2 linked regions of the Lepisosteus oculatus genome follow. The protein of the gene in region 2 purifies or fractionates together with the protein of the main gene of each other region. This does not show direct contact. Links are inferred from orthologs where the notes say so. Each region holds a gene or a part of one and is shown on either strand. Other genes may lie near its edges. The genes, in order: pias1b and signal transducer and activator of transcription 1-alpha/beta.

Region 1 (9,187 bases), on a different chromosome or scaffold from region 2:
AGCGCCCACTTAGTGAAGCCAGTTATCCGGGACACGACTGGACTTTGGACCGTGGGAGAAACACCACGAGGCCACACGGGAGAGTACACAAACTCCCCGTGGAAAGTGTTCCGGCACCACCAGTGTGTTTGTGAAAGGGAGGCGGAGCGTGACGCCAAGCAGTATAAGAGTCTATCTGACGGAGGGGGTCTGGCGGGTCGGTGTCTTGTGCTCCTTCAGACCCCTGGCGCGACCTGCTGAATGAGGGAATATGTGTATTATTATTATTTAAAAGCCTGTATTCCGGTTGAATTACATAAAAAGAAGCGACAATCGGCCTCGATTTGGGGTGACATGTCAGGTGGACAAAGCTGACCCCGCGGCTGGCTCGCTGTAGTAACAGTGGGGAGACCACCGAGACCGCGTCATCCCCGGTCCATGCCCCTTCCACACTAGCACGCAATAAGGATAAAATAAAATAAATAAAATAAAAAAAAACCTATAGAAGAAAATGACCTTCGTTCCCCCCCCCCATCATTTATTTTCGCCATGTGATGGATGAGATGAGCAAGTGTCCGTCGTGCCTCGCAATACAGTTAAGAAAGAGAGCGTGAGGTCCGGTCTCCCTCCACCAGGTGATGGACCCTCACACTCACCCCAGCCCGCTCAGAGTCGTGCAAACATTCAAGGGAAAGATGGCTGTGAAAACAGACACGCGTGTAGGAGAAGGCTGAACAGAAACGGCAGAGGAGTCCGAAAATTACTGTGCAGTATCATCGTGTCAAAATTCATTAGAGAATCAACAGCGTCATGTTTTAGTATAGCTACAAATGTCACAGTAGCTCTTAAAAGCACCGTATTCATTGTAGGTGAACATCAACAGTCTCAGAATGCCAACTCCAGTTAAGCTGGGTTCCCTGGATTAATACAAGATCTCCATCTGGTGGACAAACAGCAAAACGCAATGAAAGGGAAGAAAATAGACGTTCTGTACGGAGTTTATATACAATACTGTATTCCATTAGTAGCATCTTTGTGAATGCGTTTTAAGCTTTTATTTTTTTAAAATGTTAGTATTACCATAATTCTAAATACAATTTCTTATGTTTAGAATCATAATTCTAATATCAATCTTTGCTACAACTCAATTTGTACCAAACGTTTTTTGCCTTATCTATGGATTGTAAAAAATATTCCTCATATAATTGATGTTTTACACACAACAGATGCTTTCAATTGTGCATTAGAATATGTACAATTAACCATTTAGTTTAATTAATAAAATGTAGGTATTTCAGGCCAATGGCACACCAGAACCTTCTCTTTAATGATAAAATGAATAATTCTTTCATGGGGACCTGATAATCCTCATCTTCATATAAGATGCTCCAAAACTGCCCTTCCACAAATATTTAAGGTCTCTACTGTTTAAATATTCCAAAGCTGGATTCTTATTCTTTGTTTTATTAATACATACAATCCATGGATGTGTATATCCAGAAAACATGAAGGTTATCTCATGACCTTCAGTTGAATCCGTATGTTGAGAGTATTATTCAAACATTGTATATACTCTTGCAATTAAATTAAGCAGAAAGACATTTGCCTGCTTTCTTGGTTAATTCTGAGACTCTTGTCCTTAAGCTCTTGACTGCAAGTGGTAACGTTTTTGTGAGAGCAAGGAGAGCATCTACTTTAAGATCAGAAGAAATGAACAGTTTAATTCAAGGGCAGGTTGTGTTTTTCTGAAGAGAGGAATCATCCAAATAATAGACACACACACACACACAACTAAGGTTGCTGCTGGAAGAGGTGTTAGTGGGGCCAGCAGGGGGTGCTCACCCTGTGGTTTCTGTGGATCCTACTGGCCCAGTATAGTGAAGGGGACCTTATGAAAGGGACACTTTTTCCACCATAAAGAAGGTATTGTCCTTCAGATGAGATGTAAAAGCAAGGTCCTGGCTCTCTTTGGTCATTAAAAGTCCCAGGGCTTTTTTTTTTTTTAAAGAGTAGGAGTTTAACAAAGTTTCCCCTGGCCTTCTAATAATCCCTGTCTCTGAACTGGCTACCTCATCCTCATGACTATCCTCATAGTCATTCTTTCAAATCCAATGTGCTGGTGTACAGAGCCAAACCAAATATTATCACTCTGTTCTCCTCCACACTGAGAGCTGGTGTGTGGGGAGCGTACTGGTGCACTATGGCTGCCATTGCATCATGCAGGCGAGGGCTACACACTGGTGAAGGTGGAGGGGAGTCCCCGCTACCTGTTAAGTGCTTTGAGTGGAGTGCCCAGAAAAGCACTATAGAAGCGTACAGATTATTTATTATTTACTTCAATGAAGTTCTTGCCCAACACTTCAATGTGACATACAGGTCCTTGTTTCACCACTGACGAGGACACAAACGGCACTAAAGCCTTGTGCCCTGCAGTATTTGTTCATGTCGGAGAAGAGTGTTCTGTGAAATGAAATGCAGTAATTCAGCCAGCATGTGTGTCTATTGCAGTGAACTCCTACAAAAACCAAGCAAGTTGTAGCATTTGAAGTCGTGCTAAAAGCATGCAAAAGTTGTGATAGTGTCCTACAAAAAACTGAGGAAACATGGCAAAACAGAGGAGATGCATGTTAAAACTGCTTCAAAGCTGCTCCTTTCTTGCAGTAAGTGTTGAGATTGGAGAAGCAGGATTCTGTCCTACTTTCATAATCCACTGCGACCCATGATCCCCTGAAACCAGTGCTGTAGGTATCGTAGTCTCTGCTGACTGTGATAGGAGTGTGAAATATTGTGTGTGTGTGTGTGTGTGTGTGTGTGTGTGTGTGTGTGTGTGGGGTAGAGCAAGATCTGAAGTTCTTCCGTTGAACTGTTCAAAGCTCTTCAGTTCAGTTCAACTTTTGTTCCTTGACTTTTTTTTTTAATAAGATGTCCAAATTTCTACCCTGTGTTGGTTCAGTCTCCAGGCCTAATAAAGCTCTTGAGCACCCCTGCAGCCAGACAGGACGGAAATCGTTCTGCAGGAGAAACTCGTTACAGCTCACAGTGCAGCTGAGCAGAGGAGCCAGAGACCCAGAAACCCCCCTGCTGCTTAACCTGAATTCCCTGTGCTGTCATTCTCCTCTTCCTCCTCTTCTTTTTAGCGAATGTTTCGGAGCCATGCCTTAACCAAGGCTTGCTCTCTGTCCTTCGCTCTCTCCATTATCCTGTACTTGACAAACCCTTCCCAGTTCCTGCAGTATTCGGAAGAATAGAAGGGGTTTCAAGAAGCTGCACACCTCAGATCTGATGATTGTGTTTCTGCTTTCCTGGTCACGCCATCAGAAATAGTACTCTACATTTTCATCTCAGGTTGTCTTTATCAACCACTGTAACGAAAAAAAAACCCCAGCATGTTCTTGTTTTCTGAAAATGGTGAATTCATAAATCGATAAAGTTTATATTCTCACAACACTATCACCTTCCTGAAAGGCAGGGAAAATGCAAGTCGTGTGGATATTTTACATGTCAGGGGTCACTTGCCAGATGAGAGGGACATATTCACCAGAGGGTGTCGAGTGTCCGCGAGGAATAAAGATTAGAAAGGATGTATATGTGGTGCCCGTGTTTAATTCACAGAAGAAAAAGAGAAAATAATAACAACATTAAACCGAAACGCAGTTAGAGAGAAAAAAACGTGGAAAGGGGAGAAGAAGCAGACGCTGATTAAAAGCCTGACGAAGCAGTGAAGTCTTCAGTCTAGATTTAAAGACTGTGAAAGAGCTGACGTTTCTCGGAGTGGCAGGGAGTGAGTTCCAGAGCCGAGGAGCAAGGTGGGTGAAAGAGCGAGCCTGAAGACGCCCGGACCTGTAAGAGGGTTCTAATATAAGGTTGGGCTCAGCAGAGCGTATAGCCCAGCTGGGTACACAGGGGGTAATGAGAGATGCTACGTATTGCAGGGGTTTGGTGAGAAGAGCTTGAAAAGCTAAGAGTACAGTTTTGAACTGAATGCGCTGGGTAATAGGGAGGCAGTGAGGTAGAGGTAGTCGTGTCAGAATTGGGGAGATGTGATCGCCGAGCCTTGAATGAGTTACAAGCTGAGCAGCTGAGTTTTTGGATCTATTCATGAACAATCTTTGCTCTCAAAGAGGAACCTGAGAGTTCGGTTTGTACTGTAGGTGTAGAGAGGTGCATATACAGTAGCTTACTAGAAAAAAAAAGATAATCTGTTGGTTTTCACCTTCAGAAAGGTTATAGAGGAGGCCATGAGGTCTGCCTTGCCTGTCGTGCCACATTCCTCCATGCATTGGGCATGTCTGCTTTGTATGTATGAGCAAACGTGTGTTGGGGATCTAGGGAAGACTCTCCATAAAGCAGAAAAATTGTGGGTGCAGTTTTGCATACATTTCAAATGGATTTCAGCGTACCGTTCTTTGTCAAATGAGCAGTGTCACATATGACTGTTGATATGGCCTACTAAAATGTGGCAAATGGGTTTTGGAAATGGATGATTGATTTACATGTGTCTGTGCCCTACACAACCCCGTAGCGCTGTGTTAAGATTCTGTAGTGTTCCAAGTGTATTCCAGTGGCTGGAATGGAACATTTCAGCTGTTTATCTCTTTCATTGGCTGTATATATGAAATTACTCAAACTCTAGGAAAGCAGTGGGACATATTAAATCTTTGCTCAGAAGGACAGTTTTATATAAATATGTGTTTATTTTCTGGAGACACAAGACAGTTCCACGACTTCAACATATGAGAATCTTATTTATTGTCATAATTACGGCCCAGTATGGCTTACATTGTTCATGCTGGCTGCAAAGAGCTTCGAGTTGCACAGCCGGCCCTGAGCAGCCACGCGCTGGGGAGAAAAGGCGCCAAGATTTAAAAAAACTTTGCGTGAGGACGTCAGCGTGCCTTACGTCCGTCCCACGTGCCGGGGGTTGATCACGCCTGCGCCAAGAGTTACAAGATGGCGGAGAGTGCGGAACTGAAGGTAAGGCGCAGCTTTAAATCACATTTGATATAATCGGTTAATTCTTGTTATTAAGCCCATAGAAGGACACTCTGTTGTGTATTAATTCACAGAGAAGGCGCTTAGGGGAGTATTCGTTAGTGTAAATGTTGCAGAACTCGAAGTTCAGTTGTAGTTCTGCGCGATGCTCGAGAACATGTTATTGTTGATGTTCAGACTGCTGTGTTTTGTAGCCACAGTTCTGCCTTTGAAGATTCCGAGTCCCATAGGTCTGTGGTATTTTCCGAGGTAATTAAAGTTGGCAGCTTGGCAGAGTGAGCTCCCCGCCTGCGGAGTCCTGCTGCCCGTGCGCAGGTGAGCGCTGCATCGCCAACAATAGCGGGGCAAAGAGGGCTGGCGCCGCCGTGTTGTCGTCCTGTCAGGTACGGTGTGCTGAAACGATGATGGAGCGGTGCTGTTTTCTCGAGTCCAGCCGCCGGACCCGTTGTTCGGGGCTTCGCACCGCAGCCTGGAAGTGGTTCGATCGGGGAGGGGTGAGGCGATCGCTGTCTGTCCCAGGCTTTATCGCTGGGTGTTAGCAGTGCTCCAGTGTTTCTCGATGCTCGGTTAGTCGTAGCGGTTTTTTTTTTTCCTGTCCGAAAGAAAAGGAGACTCTCGGAATAACTCAACATCCGCTCACTCCTTGAGCTGCTTTCAGGCGAAATGAAAACAAAAGATGCTGTACTTTGAAGACTCTCGACTGCTCCTCTGCCTGGTGTGTGATAGTAGGAGCTGGAGTTCGTAATGAGTGGTTCTCTGCGCTTTGTGCACACCGATATTGGCGATGTTAGCTGTGTGTCTCGTTCAAGTTTTTTATGTTGGTTTTTACTAGATACCGTGAATGAAGCAGCTCATTCCGTATCGTGGCTCGCCGTGAAAAACTTCATCTCACCAGCTGGTGCATTGCTGCATGGAAAGTTTGATACGAATATATCCCTTTGTTAAAAAGTTTCCCTTAGAGCAAATGTGCATCAAAATAATAAGCGAAAGCAGAAATCGAATCCACGTTTTCTTTGTAAATATAATCCTATAATCATTTTTTTTAATCCAGCATTTTCTTGGATTTGTAATAGTTGACTGCACTGATGCATTCAAATATTTGAATTCGCCGGTTGTAAACATAGCTAGCGTTAGTGTAATTTTATTAAGCTATGTTTTAACCTGATGTTCCGCATGTTTGAATCGGATGACCATCAAGCACGCTGGAGTGAGAGTGTAGAGTTGAGACCGGCACAGTGGAAACGAGAGTAGCAGGCGAAAGCGCATGTGTATCTCCAGCTCCTCACCTACAGCCTAGAGCTGCTGGGATGGTGGAGAGAGAACCGAGGAACCTACAACAGAAGCTGTGATAGTTGTCTCTCGCCTGACACAGTAATGTTTGTGTTCAAGTCTGTGGACAGCGATAAAGCCGAGGGGATAGGTAATACCTCCAGAGGAGAAGTTCATTGATGCATCCCGACATGGCAAGTTAAAGATGCAGTGCGTTTTTCAGACTCGTATTCTTGTGTGTGTTTTTAACATGTGGGGGAATCTGTGCTTTTTATTTATAGACAACGCTTTGATGGGAGTAGCAAAACTGGATGCCTGTAATGTACCTTCATCACTTTTTGGAAAATTAATTCACAATATAAAAACTCTTGCTGTTTTTAAGTGTGACCGAAGGTTGGACCTTTGGCTAAGCGATGGTGGAAGTAATCTTGTAGGAAGTGACACCTGACCCCTAAAGGACTGTTATTGATCTTAATAATGACTTATCGAATGAATTGATCAAGGATATGCAGCTGACTCATTTAGGAGACTGATCAGTTTGGGGCCCATGTGGTTTTCTGGCAAAACGGAGTTGGATCTGCATGCAATCTGTTTCTATCGGTCACGGGTAGAACAGCAGTGGTGTGCTCTGTATCTGTGTAGCTGTGGCGGTACAGCGTTTGCTCAGGTCGGTGCTCTCTGAGGAAGGAAGTGAAGCGGTGGAGTGACTGGATCTCGGACTCTGTCAGGCGGCCCTGTGGCTTTGAAAGGTCATTGTTCTTTTCAGAGGTGAACTGTTCTAGTAACGGCATATCATTTCTTGTCTGGAGGAGCTTTCATTTTCATTTAAACAGATGTTTTTGGTAAAATACTGTTTTTAAAATCAATTTGTCAAGTTTCTTATGAAGTTGGATTTTTGAGCCAGTGTTGAAGAAATTGTCCATTGAGGAGAAATGTCTTGCTCTTGGTGGGGAGCAATTGTATTATGAGAATAGTAGGGTCTCTTGATCCCCTTGCTGTAGCTACCCAGGAGCAGGTGTGATTCTGTGCCCTTTCCTCTGACTCCCAGCAACTCTGTATACCCAGTGGTGTCTTGCACTCTTGGATGAGGTTCCAATTCAACATTTTGTTTTAAATTCAGACTTGACCTGGGGCTTCAGAGCGCGGTACTTAGTTGTGACTTGATTACACTGGACAGTGAGTTGGGCTCAACTTGATCTTGGGACCTCGGAGTTCTGGAGTCACGCTTGATTTAAAATCTTGGGAAACTATTTGGACTCTTAACTTGTTTCCAAGTTGTTTCTTAACTTTTAACTTGTAGGAGATGTTAAAATTATAGAACAAAGTTTGTGCATTGAATTATTTTTGCTGTAAGTTTTTAGGTTATTGTGGCTAGTGAAACAAGTGAAAATGAATTTGTTAGATATTTTGGCTCCGATTAGGAGACAAAAAACATTAAAACATGGAAGTGTGAGTAATATTTTTCTATTTCTTGTCAGCCATTTCTTTCTCCAAAGTACATGGTAAAAAATCTGTTCTTTAGTTTGACTTTGTATGACCTTGTAGTAATTTTTACTATGGTGGATCCATAGGTATTTTATTTTTGTAGTCTATACGTTATCTTCACATGGATGCATTTTTCCACTCTTTAAAGAAGTAACCCAAAATAATTTTGCATTTTTATACAAAGGAATACTTGATTTATGGATTTAATGCATTAAGGGTGCTTATCAGCAAGGTAGAAATCACAGCAGCGCTCTCACAGGAAACAGTGCAGCAGCTACATGGCAGTGTCATACGGCTGTCGGACCCGTGTGAAAGGGGTGATGAGGAGGGGGTACTGTCCGAGCCTGCGGTGAAGGTGTGACAGGCAGTGCCCACGGCCCCCACAGAGTGGGTAGATTCCTGGCTCCTGTGCCGACTGTGAGTGGGCAGATCTTACTGACCGAGCATTGAAGCACAGGCATCGAGCAACCCACTCGATCTATTTTGGGCGTTCTCGTGAATTTAAAGGACCGTGTATGTTCTCATTTATCTGTGGGTCGGGTCCCACTTTGTATGTGTGCTCAGCCACTAGCTACTGTACTAGAATGGGGATACAATTGGAAAAATTGAACAATATTTGGAAAATGTTGAAAATGTAACCAGAAAGGCTCTAATACCTGGAACAACAAGCATTAGTGTGGAATGTTTAATTAATTAATTTATGTGTAGTTTGGAAGAAATGCTTTTTAAAAAATAAAATGCATTTGGAGAAAATGGGAAGTCGCTTAAAGACAGAAGGGCCCAATCTGTTTCTGCATCCCTGCTTATTGGACTGTGCTTTCTACATAGGCCTGAATTTTCTTTTGACTGCAGTTAAAAACACTGATGTATTAATCCTAACATATTGAAAATTCATTGTTTCATGTCTTTGTTCTGTGTGAAGAAGCAACAGGTCACAGATGAACTGAGGTCAATATGAACCAGAGCTAAAAGCTTCCAGTTTGTCTGTTTCTGTAGTAGAGTATTTACTTTGTCTAATAACGTAAGAAAAAAATATTATAAATTAATGGTTGTGCATTTCAATACATCTATATGATTCAGTTTAATCTGGAATTTTTAATGTCTTCAGAGTTGTCTTCTATGTTTATTGCTAGCCGTCTTAGAAGAGCAACAGTGTGTCCATGAAGGGGTTTTCCAGTTTACTTTTTTTGGTGTCTTTTCCTGGCTTTCAGGGTTGTTGTGAAAGAGGTGGTTGTCCATTATTCTGAAGTCTCTTGTACTGTTTTTTGGTGCACAGACCTTGTTACTGTAATGGCAACAAATATTTGTGTATGTCTAGGGTAAGTGGTATTTGTTGATGCGTATCCTGTAATGTTGCAGATTTAGTTGGTACATTCCCAACAGGAGCAGAATTTGCAACTTTCAGGTGAGTTGCAAGTGCTTTTTCTTTTGAAATCCAAACCTAGAAAAACACGTAACACAG
Region 2 (8,876 bases):
CAAATAAAAGGACATTAAACAACTCTAGGTGCCAATAATCACTATGGGCAGCAGAAATCCTACAGTGTAGAAATGGTCACTACTACTATCAGTAATCAACACCAAAGGAAATGTCTTGCTGTAGACACACATTGAAAACAAATGCAGCAAATCTATTGTAGACTAATCTTTTCCCTAAAAATCATATAGAATGACCCTAAAAAAACTGACAGAAGTGTTCACCCAAATGCAGGTTTGAGCCAGGCATCATGAGTTCAAACCCACTTCATTTCACCAGCCAAATGTGATTGCAATCCCACAAGTGATGAAGAACTTTTGGCTCAACGCCAGCAAGGGAGTAGTTGGTCAGAACCTCCTTCATGGAACTGTGAAATGTATGAAAGTGAGAGGGTTCAAGGAGTCTACTACACTTCCTCCTTCTCTCCTGTGTGCAGCTGCAGGGTTTGAGCCATGAACCAGGATCTGAAAAATAGTAAGCTGTCTATTCCAAACTGGGTACATGTATGAGAAAAAATTCCAATTCTAGATTTAAAAAGTGCAAAATACATTTTTTACACATTTAAAAACAAATTAACAACACCTTTTTTGATGCGGTTCAAATCTATTAGGTCAGAAAACATTAAAAGTATAAGCTTCAGGTTAACAACCAGGCAGCATCATTAAGTTAATCAGTTCAGCATCCTAAATAAGACTGTCTGTTCCTAAAGAACAGACATAACTGGACAGAAGTAAAAATTTTGTTAGTTTAAAAAACAGTGCAAAACAGTTTACTTTAAGTTGAAATTCATATTTTGGACCCCCCACACACACAATTTGTTTCAGCCATTTTGACTATGATGCTCAATGTTATGACTGAGAAAATCAACTTTAAAACTTTAGACTAGTAAATGTTTGCGCAATTAGGACAGTACAAGTAAAAACTTGTGAATAAAAGGTTCTTCACACATGCTTTTAAAATTGTTGCTTAACAAATGACTGCCCATGTTATTTAATGGTATACTTGTGATGGGCACTGAAATAAAATAAAGCCAGTTTTCACTTTCACAAATACAGTAGATTAGGGGTCTAAAACCTTAGCTCCCATCTAGTAGGATTCACCATTAAATATCAAATTTGTGACACAAGGCCTTCCATAAAATGAGTCTGATATCTCAGTACTATAGCCTAGGTGGGTCTATTCTATAATTCCAATTGCGGAAAGGCCAACTGGAAATTTAGGCTCTAGCAAATACAGTAACTTCAAATATAACTGCAGGGCAATCTGGGACTTCTCATTTTCAGAAGTCCTTGCCGTTTATGTAAGGGCAGTATAAACATTTTTGAGACCTGATCAAATCATCAGCAAAATACATTAATACAGTTCGAAAATTGCAAGAAGTACATTTACTTAACTTTTTATCAAAATAGAGAACAGAAATATTTATGAATATCATTTCAAGATTCAGAAAGATTGAGACAAAAATATATAAAAGAAAATACGATATAATTACAACATATCATTCTTTATATTAACCACTACTAGTATAATTAAATAGGACTGTGCTGTGATAAACTATGGTATATCATGGAGTGTGTTTTTAGATAACTTTATTAATTACCAGTGTACAGTACTGTATGATCTCTACAGTATACCATATAAAAAAATTATTATAGAATAAAACACTCCTATTGTCACTCCTGAAGTTGTGTTAATAACTACTTAAGGTAAAAATATATACAGTATATATAACCTCATCAAAAACAGTATAGCAATGACGACGCCAACAGTAATTTCCAAAGCAACCGTACTGTATGTAAAGGGTCCATCACTACAGCTACAGAGCCTCTCCCGACTTCCTGTAAATAAAACTTCGTATTTAAATCAAACTGTTTACTAACCTTTAATATTTGATCCGTTTAAAATAAACACTTAACAAAACGTCGAACAGAAGAAAGGACATTCACTGGTCTCAACCTTGTAGACTTCAGAAAAATGATTTCTCTCACTCAAAACACCTCGAAAAACGAAACTAACTCTGACGTTCTTATTAACTGGATGTCATCTTGCCAGCTGACCAGAAACAAACAATTGGCATGCCTCTCAGCCAATCACAAATAAGAGTTTGCTCACTAACACCCAATTCCTCTTCGAAAGCCAACCAACGTAAAGAGGAAATTGTCTTTCCCACTTTTTTTTAAAGGCTCAGGGAGTAGGAGCTGTTCTAAACATTAGTCAACCCTCCCTCGTAATTTCCCCAGCCTGTAGGAGAAATAGAAAGTTTACTTTCCCATGAGATTTTGTGAGACGCAGAAACCTAGACAAATGTGCATACTTACGGTGTAATTTAGCAAATTATTTTTCTTTGACAATTTACAAAAATTAAAATCCTAATTGTAAATGATATTGTTGTATTAAAAATATATCAAATAATTTGGAATTTGGAATTTGGTAAAAGATTTCATTGTACCATAAGATTAAGCATAAACATAAGTACATAAAAAGGTTACAAACCAGAGGAGGCCATTCTGCTCACCTTCATCCAGGTGGATGCTGCACATTGGTGGTGGTGGAGGGGAGTCCCCATTACCTGTAAAGCGCTTTGAGTGGAGTATCCAGAAAAGCGCTATATAAGTGTTAGCTATTATTATTATTATTATTATTATTATTATTATTATTATTATTATTATTAATTGTATTGTCTTGCTATGTGATCTGCAGATCTCGTCCAGACGTTTTTCAAAGAATCACAGAAGATTTGCTTCAATTATATAACTGGCTAGCCTGCTCCAGAAAATTTTAACACATATTGAACAGACACCAGTTTTCACTGTCTTAAATGTACATTCCCTCAATTTCCACTTGTACCTTCAGGATTTTGTTTCACTATAGGTCTTAGATTAAGCCCCCAAGTGGACTCCTGGGTTCAGGATTACAAAAACCTGTAAAGAGTTATCTTATAGTGTACAAAACACATCTAGTTCAGAACTAAAGAAATTTCAGACTGAAAAAGGATCCAGTATGTTTCTTTGCTGACATTTAGTTACTTTTGCCTGTTAAATATCTTTACTTATTTGCAAATGATGCATCATACAGTACTTTTTCATTCCAGGAAATTACAGTTTTGCTGAAATAGTTTAAGAAACAGTGTTTCAAGAACAGTTTTATTCTAGAAAACACAGCTTGACATTCGAAAATCATCTTAACTGAAGTAGTTAATTAAATCAAAATATGTATAAATTCAGAAGGTGATACAAGACAATCACAAAACTCTGCAAGTAATGAGAATCTATCACAAAGGACTAAAAGATGTACTTTAATCTTACTTTTAAAACAGCGAAAATCTCTTCTGTAGCCGTTTGCAGATCAATCTACAGTTAGGGATTTTAAAAGTGAATGTATTGAAATTGAAAAGATAATGCAAAACATATACATCGAAATGTTTACTCCCACTAGTTGTGCCCATTGATTCTGAGACTGAGCTTACATTTTTTAAATGTTTTTCAATAATTTGTCAAGTCACAGTTTTGGGGGAAAGACGACAATATAGATATGTGTTAGTGTTCTTAAATATCATGAGAAGTATTGTGCTAGGAAAGGCATCTGACATCTTCAAATAATCGGCGACGCACGAGAAAATTAAAGGGGAGCATCCGTGAAAGAAAACAGGACATTCCTTTATCAAACACTGATATCTTAGAACAAACTGCTGAGTTACAGTGTTACAACCATTTCTCTCGGATCTTAGGAGTGGCTTGATCAAATAATTGGATTATTGCAGGAAGCAAACCTGCTTTCATCTGTAACCTTTACCTGTTACCAACATCCTTGCTTGAAAAAATGAGGCCGTTCATCTTTCTTCCTTTAGCTGCGGTACGCCGACCACACCCTTAACCCTATGCTACAGCTGTATTAGCTAGAAACGCCTTCTGGAGAAGGATAGCTTTATTCCGCTAGCTGTTTCAGGGAGGAAGGCCGACTGGCATAAGAGCTGTATCACGAGGTTTCCGAGAAACCGAAAGGATCTGGGAGATCACTGCATTGAAAGGAAACAGAGAAACGAAACTTTAATTGGAGCCAAACGGTTTTTTTTTATCTCTTTCTGATTGTTAGTCTCAACTTTACCAAGCGGCTGCTTTTGCAGCTGCAGCTTATTTTCTCCCTCCAGGATTTTTAAGACTTTAAGCTTTTAAGACTTTTAAGCTCTGTGGTGAAGCAGAACGAGGAGCGTTTTGTAAAAATTAAAATATGTAATTGTTTTTTTTCCCCCATTGTTATAATGTTTAATTGTTTAATTCACAGCATTCCTTTACGGATATTAAATCGATTTTTTGTTATCGTAATACGTGTTGACTTTTAAATGTTTGATAGTAGTAACCAGCCGTAATGCTGCTGTAAAGATCTTATGAAAGCAGACCTGAGTTTATGAAAACAATAATTATCTGTTCTATATGTGGATAGAAGTAGGCTACTTGTGTAGTTGTGGCTCAACAATAATGGATTTTGATTGTTGTACAGAACAAGGAAAAGCAATGGCACGACCCGGAATTCTATTCAAACCCTTTATTTTATATGATATATAACGAATTTAATTGAAATAAATGAACAATTGTTCAAGTAGGTAACTGCGTCAGCATGTGTAGGTCGGAAAGGAACCAGTACTTTTTCTTCTTTTTTCAGCATGAACTAACCTTTACTTGTTCCCAAATGAACAATACAACGTTTTAAAATGTTTCTTTGTGTCTTAACTTAGTTTTGTAGTTGGTTTTATGTCACAGTAATCATACTGATATAACTAGAGAAGTGTAAACAGGATGAGGATGCATTTCTGTTTTTCCAGTCTGGTGACCCCAAAAGATAGTTTCAGAAAGCTGATGCAATCTTTTGGATTAATATTAAAACTATAACTGTCTCCTAATGAAAACTAATACGGTATCTGCATTACAGCCTGATATGCAAACAATGCAAATTTGCCTGATTCAGACACTATATTCTATATTCAGATATCCCAGTTCTTAAAAGTGATTTAATCCAAGAATGGGCTGTTTAGTATTGTATTTAGGGCTGGTGCTGTGCCAAGCCAGTTTTTCCCTCTTTTTGCCATGGATGCAGTTAGCTGGCTTCTCCGAGGACCAACAGCACCTCTATTCCATCTCTCTCCTCTCCCCTCTTCTACTATTGTAATTGGAATCACAATGTTACGTCACGCCCCCGGAGAACTCACCGCCCTTAATCATCTCCTTCACATTGCAGTTTCCAAGTAACTAATCAGACACCTTCTTCCACCTTTCTACTTGACAACCTGACACACCACTCCTTGCTTAACATTGGGTTTTACCTAGCTAGAGTTGTATTGTCCCCTGCTTCACAACATTTCTAGGTTTTTGGCTCTGATCCTTGACTTTGTCATCTGGATCTTGACTTAGTTATTGTGGATTTACTGGTTTTTGATCCTGGCCTGACTTCCTGACCTATGTTTTTTTTACTCTTGCTGGTACTTTTGAGTTCAGAGGATTCTGCTTAGGGCCCTTCTTCTGCACTGTAATGGTATACTGAGTCTTAACATGGACCCTGCAGAAGGTGAGGTATGGTGCTTTCTCAGCATTCTCATGCATTTAATCAGCTGCAAGTTTCTATCCAGCAGATAATGGTGTTACGCATTCCACTCGCGTCTCTGTTCCTTCCCGCATTCCCACGCGTACACCCTGTAACAAACGCTCACGCCGCAAGTAACACACCAATCACCGTTCTCTCCCGTCCCTATTTTAGTTCTCCTTTTTCCTCATTTCCCCGCTCACTATTGCAGATTCTCCTTGAGGTCCCTAGTGCGCGTTTTCCTCTAGCTTTTCTCCGGTTCCTGATCTCCTTGCTTGCTTCTCGTGTTCGATTTCGCCTAGTGTTTTGGATTGTTGCTTTCTCGTTGTACTTCTGTTTTCCGACCTACTCACCTGATTCCTGGATTTGACTTCGCCTTGTGTTTTGGATCATTGCTGCCTCTTTGACTTCGCGTTCTGACCTCCTCTCCTGCTTCCTCGTTTTAGTTTTTTTGCCTAGCGATTCAGCTTAGTGTTTTTCTCAGTCTCCGGAGTTCTGCACAGGATCCATTGACCAGATCAGCCCCATTCTGACAGAATACTGAGCCTATTCATGGATCCAGCGGACCATAACAGCACTGCTGCTTTTTTTTCCAACAGCAGTCCCAGGCTCTAGGACAACTGACTGCTGCAGTTCAATGCCTAGTGGACCACACCACCTGTCCCCCACCTCCTCCGGTGGCTCCCGTACCTGCTCCTCCCCTGGCTGCTGCTGCTTGCCTCTTGCCCCCTCCCATCCCGGAGAAATTTGAGGGGGACCCAGCTAAACTCCAGAGTTTAACCCAGTGCTGGATGGCCTTCCACCTTCGCCCGGATTATTTTCCCTCTGACAGAGAGATTGCCTTCATGGTCTCTCACCTCTCCGGTCGAGCCCTGGACTAGGCTACTTCCCTCCTCACTCTGAATCTTCCCGTGACTGCTGATGCCAACCAGTTTTCTGCTGCCATGCAGTCCATTTTTGGTCATCTCCACTCCCACCATATAGCCATCTCCTGTCTCGTCTCTCTCACCCAGGGTTCCCGGACTTTTCAAGATTATGCTATGGAATTCCACCTTTTGGCCTCCCAAATGCCCTGGAATGAAGAGGCTCTTATCCACCAGTTCTGCCAGGGCTTGTCTTCCGCTTTTCAGGACCACCTCGCATATCTTCCACTGGACTTTCCCTCCTTGGAGCATCTTATCTACCATCTGGCCGAAATTAATATCAGGCTCCAAGAACAACGCTCCCGGCTTCAAACCCCTTCTGCCCCCTCCCGCCCAACCTCCTTCTCTAGTCTGTCTTCTGAGGAGTGACACCACGACTCTCCGAGGGATGTTGCCCTTATTGCGTGGCAGCCGGCCATCTCCGAGCTTCATGCCCTGTCTGCCCTCCCTGTACTTCCCTGCCCTCTGACAAGGTCGGTATCCTTCCCTCTTCTGGCCTTTTTTTGCCCACACTGGTTTCCAGGGATGGATTCAAAGAATCTCTTCTGGCTTTTGTTGATTCAGGCACAGAGGAAAACTTCCTAGACTCCGGACTCCCACCACTTTTAATATTCCTTGCATCCCCGTTTCGCCCCCTATCTGCCTCCTCACCTTTGATGGATCCCCTCTCACTCTTGTTGAATGGGAAAAAATTCCCCTTACACTACGCATTGGCGCCCTCCACACCGAGAGCATTCCAATTCCTCCTCCTCCACTCTCCTTCCCATCCTCTGGTTCTTGGATACCCTTGGTTGAAGATGCACAACCCCATCTTTTCCCAGTCCAACAGCGAACTACTGGCCTGGGGACCCAAATGTCATCCTCGTTGCCTGCAGTTGCCTCTCAGACTTTCCTCTGTCCACATGACCTAGGATGAATCCATCGGGATTTCTTCTGCATATTGCGACTGTCACGCCCTCTGCAGCCAGAGGGCGCTCCTTCTCTGTCCTGTCCCTAGTTTCCAGTCTGCTGTCTTCCTGTCCCTCTCTTTCCCTTGGGCTATATATTTCCGGGTCTTGCACTCTGTCCTCGCTCAGCATTGACGTTCGGATGTCCTGAGACCCGCCTAGCACCAGGGCGCCCCACGTCCGCTCCCTGAGGGCATAGGTTTCTATACGGCATTCCTGAACTCTTTGCACTTATGAGCTTGGGCCTTTTTCCCGTCTCGCCGCTACGCATATGAGTCTTTTTCCGCTCTCCTGCTCCCCACGGTTAGTCCCTTTGGACGTCCGTGACAGCGACCTGCACCTTGCCTTCAGCAAGCAAAAAGCACTCTCCTTGCCACCATACCGTCTCTCTGATTGCGCCATTGACTTACTACCTGGAACCCTGCCTCCAAGAGGAAGAACCTACCCACTTTCTCTGAAAGACTCTGATGCCCTGGAGTTTTACATCCATCATTCGCCCTTTTACTTCTCCGGCCTGTGCAGGTTTTTTTTTCGTGGAGAAGAAGGATGGATCCCTGCAGCCCTGTATCGATTACAGGAGCCTGAATGAGATTACTATCAAGAACCGGTATCTCCTTCCCCTCATTAACTCTGCATTGGAATCTCTTCAGGGAGCCTCTGTCTTCACCAAACTTGACCTTCGGGGCGCCTACAACCTCATCCGCATCCGTGATGGTGATGAGTGGAAGACAGCCTTCATTACTACACTTAGTCATTATGAATATCCGGTCATGCCCTTTGGCCTGGCTAATGCTCCTATAGTATTCCAGGGCTTTATGAATGACATTTTTAGGGACATCGTTCAGAAGTACGTCCTGGTTTACACATTCCTGACAGATCTCCCGAAAAGCCACGGTAAAACGACGATCATGGTGGTCATCGACTGTTTCTCCTAAGCTGTACATGTTGTTCCTCTTCCAGCCCTCCCATCAGCAAGAGAGATGGCAGACCTTTTTGTCCAGCATGTTTTCCACTTCCATGGCATTCCGAAGGATATTGTTTCAGACAGGGGTCCGCAGTTCATATCTAGAGTTTTGGAAGGCTTTCTTCCAGGTTTTAGGGGCATCCTCCTCCCTCACTTCTGGTTACCACCCCGAAGCCAATGGTCAGGCGGAAAGGATTAACCAAGACCTGCTGACCTACCTGTTCAATTTCACCTAGTGTTTTGGATTGTTGCTTTCTCATTGTACTTCTGTGTTCCGACCTACTCACCTGCTTCCTGGATTTGACTTTGCCTTGTGTTTTGGATCGTTGCTGGCTCTTTGACTCTCCGTGTTCCAACCTGCTCTCCTGCTTCCTGGTTTTCATTTTTGCCTAGCGATTCAGCTTAGTGTTTTTCTGAGTCTCCTGAGTCCTGCACCAGATCCATTGACCAGATCAGCCCCATTCTGACAA

What was found.
Region 1: the proteins of signal transducer and activator of transcription 1-alpha/beta (region 2) and pias1b purify together in Homo sapiens (affinity purification with western blotting; 5 studies listed by BioGRID). This does not show direct contact. The link is inferred for Lepisosteus oculatus from reciprocal best matches to the Homo sapiens genes STAT1 and PIAS1.

Annotation. Positions count from the first base shown.
Region 1 is NC_090700.1:48,158,828-48,168,014, forward strand, and holds the start of pias1b (E3 SUMO-protein ligase PIAS1), read left to right. Parts: upstream 1-4,911; 5' UTR 4,912-4,929; coding exon 4,930-4,953; intron 4,954-9,187. UniProt on the Homo sapiens protein: Functions as an E3-type small ubiquitin-like modifier (SUMO) ligase, stabilizing the interaction between UBE2I and the substrate, and as a SUMO-tethering factor. Catalyzes sumoylation of various proteins, such as CEBPB, MRE11, MTA1, PTK2 and PML.
Region 2 is NC_090707.1:26,782,896-26,791,771, forward strand, and holds the start of signal transducer and activator of transcription 1-alpha/beta, read right to left. Parts: upstream 3,881-8,876; 5' UTR 3,832-3,880; coding exon 3,791-3,831; intron 2,056-3,790; exon of another isoform or gene 1,879-2,055; intron 1-1,878. UniProt on the Homo sapiens protein: Signal transducer and transcription activator that mediates cellular responses to interferons (IFNs), cytokine KITLG/SCF and other cytokines and other growth factors.